Linked DNA regions of Tribolium castaneum. Each later gene encodes a partner of the first gene's protein in a complex. Links are inferred from orthologs where the notes say so. Each region holds a gene or a part of one and is shown on either strand. Other genes may lie near its edges.

Region 1 (3,131 bases):
ACACGTTTCTTACAATATTATCAATATTTAAGATTTTAATAAAAAAAATATCAAGTAATTTTATGTTGGCGCAAATTCTAATTATGTAAAAATAGAAAAATTATTTTTAGTATAGTTGCCTCTGTCGCACACTTTGTGTCTTTTTTAGCCTTAAAAAATTAATTGCATTTGCTGCTCTATTTTGGTATTGTTAATTTAAGGGCGCGTGTGATTTATTTTTTATTTTAGTGAATCCAGCAAGGAGAAATTAATTTCGCCCCGCGCCCGCGTAAAATTAAAAGAGGCGGCTGAACCCGATCGAAAAGTAACCCAAAGAACAAAAATATTGGTCAGTTTATATCGCCAGAAGGAATTTCTCAAGAAAGACATTTTACGAAAGCGGGCCTTACTTGAAAAGGAATTACAATACGAGATTCAGGTAAATTGAATAAAAAAATTATCTTATTTTATATTGATTGTGTTGGGATTGTAGAAAGAAGTAGCAGAGGAATTAGCTGCCCGGACAAAGATCGAACGAACCAAACAAGATGAGGTTCGCACTGGTAGCAGTAAACGAAAATCGGCAGCGACGGCCACCACGGCGGTCATCCCTCAAGCCTCCAAAACTGCTCGTCACAAGAAGGGCCAAAAACAGACTCATGCCGTCCCATCGACGGCGGCACAAAGAAGTGGCATTAAAAAGGAAAAATTGTATTGCGTTTGTCGGACGCCGTACGACGAGACGAAGTTTTACGTCGGTTGCGATTTGTGTAATAATTGGTTCCACGGGGATTGTGTGGGAATCACCGAAGAGAGTAGTCGAACGCTGACTGAGTTTGTCTGTGAGGAGTGCAAGCAGGCCAAAGATACGGAAAAATTGTACTGTTTGTGTCAGCAGCCATACGACGACTCACAGTGAGTTGGCTTGGGTGAAGTTGAGTTCAGGCGTGATTCGTTTGTGTTTAGGTTTTATATCTGTTGCGACCGGTGTCAGGATTGGTTCCATGGCCGCTGTGTGGGGATTTTGCAGTCGGAAGCCGATAATATCGACGAGTATGTGTGTCCAAGGTGTCAGAGGAATTCGTCGGTGAATTTCGCAAATATGAAGGATTTGTCGCAGAAGGACTTTGAGGCGTTGAAAAAACTAATCAAACAATTACAGGTGAGGACTTTTTACTCTAGTTATAAAAACTGCTTACAAAAAATTCGAAATAATTGTTCCCATTTTAAATTTTTCATGGCAGTTATAGTGCATTCTATTTTGTTTACCTCAACACTTTTTTACCTGAACCGAAAACTTGTGCACCGTAGATTTCTGCACAATGTAAAACGTTTTCGTACAGCCTGGTTTCTTATAATGCTGTTGTCATTTGTAATATCGAAAACCATTTGAATTCAAAATAAAGGTAAAATATTTATTACTTTAGTAATCGTTCTTTTGTTATTTTTGTTTTTCATTCGTTATTATTATTTTTATGTTTTTTAATATTATAGGAACACATACTATTCTTATCGTATTACTTTAAAAAATATATTTATATTCATCTCTTTACATTTTTTAATAAAGGTTTATTATTATTTTTGTTTGTGTAGGCTCATAAAAGCGCTTGGCCGTTCATGGAGCCGGTGGATCCGACTGAAGCTCCCGATTATTACAAGGTGATTAAGGAGCCAATGGGTAGGTCCTTATGGTTTGGTTTTGGCGGTTTAGTGATTGTCGCTTGTTTCAGACCTCCAAAAAATTGAGAATAAAATCAATGATCAAAGTTACACAAAGTTGAGTGAGTTTATAGGGGACATGACGAAAATATTCGATAACTGTCGATACTACAATCCAAAGGAATCTCCGTTCTTCAAGTGTGCAGAGTCTTTAGAAGCTTATTTTGTGAATAAGATAAAATGCTTAAGAGATAAATTTATGGAGACCAACAAATGATTCGTTTCTTAAATGAGCTTTTTTAATTTTAGGCAATAAGTGCGTACACGGGATTTCAAGTTGATTGGTAATAGATCTCAGCGTAGGAATTGTGTGACCAACTTGAAATCTTGACTTTTTTGTATATAAGTTGTGAATATATGTACGAATGCGATTTAAGTTAGATTTAAATAGTTACGACATATTTTTAAAAGCTCTGTATTATTTATATTTAAATTAATAAACTTGTTTAAGTTTTTTAAATTATTTTCGGAGTTCATGATGTAGTGTATTTATATAAAACGTGGATATATAAAGCATCTATTCAGATATAGTTAGTGCCATTGTAGATATTGTGTTATTTAACAGAGTCTTCTTATGTTTGCACATATGAAATTTTTATATTTGGTCGGTATTATATCGACTTGTAACAGTAAATATAATATTTACATTAACTGCGTTTCATTCCCTAATCGCTGTTTTAGGCGAAAGAAGAGGACTGACGCAAGTATAATTTTTATTTTGTTTAATTATTACATTAGTTTTCCCTCAGGACCTGTCTGAAGCGCTCCAGGAACACATCGGCGTGGCGTTCCTGGAAAATGAGCGACGGTCTCAGCCTCAAAGAGTGATCCCCACAGCCCCCCATCAAAACACCTGAAACCGAAACATTACCCAGTCCTCAAGCAAACAAACACTAACCTTTCTGCTTCATTTTCGCAATAATACTGTCTCGCAAAGCGGGCGTGTGCGCATTCACGGCCAAAAACGTGCCACGTCCCCTGGTGGAGTTAATTTTTTCAGGAAATTCAGCCTCCAGTCTCAACAAGCCTTTCTTCAACTTATCCCCGACTTTATTAACATTATCCAGGAGATTCTCATTTTTGATAGTCTCAAGACACGCCTCCAACAGGGCGATTTTCCCCGGATCCCCCATCCAGGTATTGAAAATCCTGTAGGGCTGTTTGGGCCTCAAATCAACCGAATGGTAGTACCCCCCTGTCAGCATTTTTTTGCTGAAGGTGACGATATCAGGGGGCGATTCTAGATTGAAGTGTTCGTGTGCCCAGAACTTCCCTGTGGCCCCACACCCTGTCTGGACTTCGTCAATGAGATAACTGGCGCCGTATTTCTTGGCGATTTTCTGCAACTGTTGGAAGAATTCCGGCGAGGCCTCGTTGTCGCCCCCTTCCGACTGGATGGGCTCGATGACGATCCCCGCCACGGGTTTGCCCTT
Region 2 (4,496 bases), on another chromosome or scaffold:
ACAATTTTGCCAAATTATAGTTTTTTTATCAGTAATTTAGACTTACATTTTTTTTTCTTAAAAAATATTCTGTTTATTCAATAAAACATCACTAATAAGATAAATTCTAATACATTTGTTATTTAACTAACATCTAACGTCCTTGGTAGTAATTACATCCCACTAGAATAATTTGTAAATATCTCCACTGTTGTCACTTTTGTGAAAGTTCATTGAATTTCGTCATTTATTACAATGCGGTAAGTGGTGGAAAAATCCGCGGTTGTAAGTGAAAAAACTGATCTGGCAAACGTGGACTAATTATAATTCAACAATGAATGATAATAACAATGTTGCCAATTCAAAAAAATGAATTTAATAATTTTTGAGTTTATTGTGATACGCACCGAATGAATTGCAAAATTACATTTAAATCTCTCTAATTGGTTTTAACTTAAGCGTAATAAAATGTAAAAATAATACTGTTTTTGACATTTTCGTTTTGGTTGTGCGATATCTTACAAAAACATTAGTTCATAAACGTGTTTTACTATTTTAAGTGTACAAAAGATAAAATAACACCGTTTTCCGACCAAATTGAGTGGTTATTTTAACAAAATTTTACGCACAAAAAACCAAGTAAATTAAGTAAAACACGTAAAATCTCATCAGATTTTTTACAACAATTTTTTCAAATGAGTTTTAGACATATCTGGATGAGTGGATAGTTTTGAAATTTTTTTTTTTTTTCTAAAATGTAGTTGCAGAGGTATTTTAATTTTGCATACTAAATGAGTCGATCGGATTGAAAACAGTAATTTCGGTTCACTTTCATAAAAACCATTGTGATGGAATTGACTAACCTGTTACCATGACAACTCGTATAAAATTTAATACTAAGAGTATCCAATTTCCACCACAATGGTTTTAATGGAAGTGAACCGAATATACTTAAAAACACTTAGAACATTACTATACAAAATTTTGGAAAATTTTGTTTTACATTTAGTAATTTTTACTTTTCGAGAATTTTTGAAATGCAATTGGCGACATTTCACCAGACTTGGCAACACTGGATGATGAGTTTTTGTCGCCATTACAGCGCCATCTTCTAACACTAGTTGTAGTAAATTGGTGTTTACCGAAGATTTCTGCAACGAGCGAAACCTGTGAGCAAAACGCATTGCTGACTTCAAGGTGATAAGACTGATAAGTTTCCTACGTGCGAATTGTTGAACCTTGGAATTTAATCGAAAATCGTTATCACCAGAAACTCTTAAGATAAACTGATATCAATCTGTAATTGGAAAAACAACTCCAAATTACTCACCATGGTCAATGTTAGACAAATATTTATTTTTTCGACCAATAGTTTTTAATTAGTTGTTATGTAACTTTTAGTTTATTTAATTTTAAGCCAGTGAAATGTGATAAGTTTTGTTGTTTATTGTAGTTGGTGAGTACAGTATCTGTACCTGTACGTATTTCCAAATTTTGAATATTTCGCGCCTATTTTGTATTGATTAGTTCAACAGTTAGTGCAGTGATTTTGGATAGAGGGGGCAATGGTCGTCCATAAATTCTCACGCGTGTTCGCAGGCGGCTTGCACAAACTATTATCACACCAAAGTCACAGTTTGCGGTGTTTTTCGTCCTCCGGCATTTGTTTCAATATGGCCTATTCTGTTGTTGAAAGAGGATCTCCTTACTCTCCAGACTACAGAGTTTACATCCGTAAGACTAAAATCATATAATATAACCTCTCACAATCCTTGATCTTCATCTTTGACCCCCGACCCTTATCATAGAACTTTTAATTAACAGAAAATCAAAACGGACCAATTTCGCCACTTCACGATGTCCCTTTGGTGGTGGACAGCACCAAAAAAATTTTCAACATGATTGTGGAGGTCCCCAGGTGGACCAATGCCAAGATGGAGGTAAGTCTAAAAAGGCGAAAAGATAAACAGCCATCAGCCAGCCTTCTCTTAGATTACTATGAAGGAGATCTTGAACCCCATCAAGCAAGATGTGAAGAAGGGTAAGCCCAGGTTTGTTGCCAATTGTTTTCCGCACCATGGTTACATTTGGAACTATGGGGCTTTGCCCCAAACTTGGGAAAACCCCGAGCATCTTGATGATGGTACAGGATGCAAGGGGGACAACGATCCCATAGATGTTATTGAAATAGGGTACAGGGTTGCGAAACGGGGGGAAGTCCTTCAGGTGAAAATTTTAGGAACCATTGCGTTAATTGACGAAGGTACAATCAACAAGTGCCGGGTTTTCCTCTAATTATTTTATCCACAGGAGAAACAGACTGGAAATTAATTGCTATAGATGTTAAGGATCCTTTAGCCGATCAAGTGAATGATGTTAGTGATGTAGAGAAACATTTCCCTGGTCTTTTGAAAGCCTCAGTTGAATGGTTTAAAATCTATAAAATTCCAGATGGTAAACCTGAAAATCAGTTCGCTTTTAATGGCGAAGCGAAACCGGCGAGTTTTGCGCTGAAAGTGGTAGATGAGGTATTGATCTATTTCCAAGGATTTTCTAGTGTTATTAAGTTGATGCATTTTTTATAGGTACACCGTTTCTGGAAAGCTTTGGTCAATAAAGAAGTTGATGCCAAGGGCATTTCCTGGTACGTAAAAGTTATGGTGACATTGAGTGTTTCTTTTTATGTTATTATGTTATTTGATTACGGCGTTTTTACCTAAAACTGATAAGTTACAAGGTTGCTAAATTGTTTGTTTCATATTGATTGAATGCTGAAACTTTTAAAACATGACAAGAGTTATCTTTGTTGCCATTATTTTTATACTTGAAGGTAGATCCCATTGTTATGAACAGTAATTTTTCCGTAAATCTACTATTTATTGTTTGAACATCATTATTTGCGCTGTGCTTTGCTTTAATTTATGATTCGTAAATGATAAAGCGTAATCTTAATTATTTGTATTTTTTTAAATGAAGTCATAACCAATTGGTACTGAAATAAAATATCAACTGATTTATTTGCTACCTAAGCAGAAAGTGAGGTGGACCTTTTTGTCTTTTTTTGTTTATGTTGCAATTATTTGAGTTGATTTTAAAGTTATCACTATTTTTTGATAAATTATGTACCGAATATTCCTCGTCCAAATTTTACTCAAGGAGGCGTTTGAACACAAAAAGCATCAGATTTATACTATTTGTTTTGTAAATTTTTAGTTTAAAAAACTAGCTAATAATTAATTTCGTAATAATTAACTTACGTTTTCAAAACGAATGCAATGAATTCATGATTAATGAATAGCCACTTTCGAGTAAATAACTGATATCTTTTTTTGTGATAAAAGTGGAATTGCATTTAATATGCAAAAAACTTCAAGTTCAACATTCCAAACAAATCACCCCATTTATAGTTTTTCTACAAAAACATTCAAATTTACTATTGTTTTCACTTGTTTAATTCTTTATTTAATTCTGTTTTTTAGTTCTCTAACGATCTTGATTTTGCTGGAACGCCAGAAAGCATTTATTTTTTGTATTTTATTCTGGCGTGTTTTGACAAGATCTTGCAAAATAAATGAGTTCTTAATGAAGGCTAAAATTTTTTGGGAAATCTATGCTTTTTCGATATACAAAAAGTTTACTTAATCGATTTGTTTTGCTATTGTCTATCTATCTTTAAAATTTTGCTAAACCATTCCCTAACAGGCTGTATTTAAATATGTAGTTTGCTAATTTTAGTTTTTGAGTTTTTGATTGAAAAATGTGCAAAATTCTCGTATATATAACAACCAGTGGCGGAAGTAATTTTTATCTCGGTTTCTAAATTTCCTTAATAAAAATGTAATTAAGCCATTAATTGATTGCTTTAATTACTTTTTCAAGTGTCAACACTACTATTGAGGGCAATCCATTCAAAATATCAGTCAGTGAGGCTAAAGACGTGATTAACAAAACTCCAGTTTATTCGCAACCGCAAAAGGTCGAACCTATTGGTAAGTCTCTCATAAAATTTGTTTTCTTTTTAATTTAATTTTTTAGTTGATAGAGTTTATTTTGTTAGAAGACTGTGCAATAAATGTAGACTTTAATAAACACTCTCTTCTTCTATTAAATGTTTTATAATACTTATATGTTGTGTTTTTTTTTACAGTGGATAAATGGCATTACGTCCATTTAAAATAAAGAAGATATTAAAAATTGTTACACCCGTGCATTTATTGTTTCTATTTTTTTTCTAAGGGTAAGAGTGTAGCGCATGGTGTTTTTGCTTATAAGAAATAAATTATAATTTATATAAAAACTGTGTTTTAACGAACTGTCCCACGTCCATTTTCTCCTAACGTGTTTTCACGTCACTTCCTGCAAACTAGTGAAGGCGTTTAATAGAAGTAAACAGATTAAGGTTCGCGGAATGCAAAATTGAAGATAAGTAAAGCTTTCCCTCTTTTTTCAGTACGTAATTCGATATTGCTTTGAGTCATTTTATCTAATGTTGTTATTGGTGCGCAATTTAATGTAGG

The links.
Region 2: E(bx) (region 1) and Nurf-38 share a complex: the UniProt entries of both Drosophila melanogaster proteins name them as parts of the NURF complex. The link is inferred for Tribolium castaneum from reciprocal best matches to the Drosophila melanogaster genes E(bx) and Nurf-38.

What each region holds. Positions count from the first base shown.
Region 1 is NC_087395.1:15,338,482-15,341,612, forward strand, and holds the end of E(bx) (nucleosome-remodeling factor subunit NURF301), read left to right. Parts: intron 1-228; coding exon 229-418; intron 419-472; coding exon 473-894; intron 895-945; coding exon 946-1,141; intron 1,142-1,572; coding exon 1,573-1,657; intron 1,658-1,709; coding exon 1,710-1,915; 3' UTR 1,916-2,349; downstream 2,350-3,131. Other genes in the region: 4-aminobutyrate aminotransferase, mitochondrial-like, read right to left, coding at 2,433-2,551, 2,597-3,131. UniProt on the Drosophila melanogaster protein: Histone-binding component of NURF (nucleosome remodeling factor), a complex which catalyzes ATP-dependent nucleosome sliding and facilitates transcription of chromatin.
Region 2 is NC_087397.1:12,922,492-12,926,987, forward strand, and holds Nurf-38 (inorganic pyrophosphatase), read left to right. Parts: upstream 1-1,432; 5' UTR 1,433-1,544; coding exon 1,545-1,713; intron 1,714-1,803; coding exon 1,804-1,919; intron 1,920-1,971; coding exon 1,972-2,242; intron 2,243-2,289; coding exon 2,290-2,507; intron 2,508-2,564; coding exon 2,565-2,623; intron 2,624-3,858; coding exon 3,859-3,968; intron 3,969-4,014; coding exon 4,015-4,064; 3' UTR 4,065-4,104; downstream 4,105-4,496. Other genes in the region: CYP6BQ13 (cytochrome P450 monooxygenase), read right to left, coding at 1,122-1,163. UniProt on the Drosophila melanogaster protein: Component of NURF (nucleosome remodeling factor), a complex which catalyzes ATP-dependent nucleosome sliding and facilitates transcription of chromatin.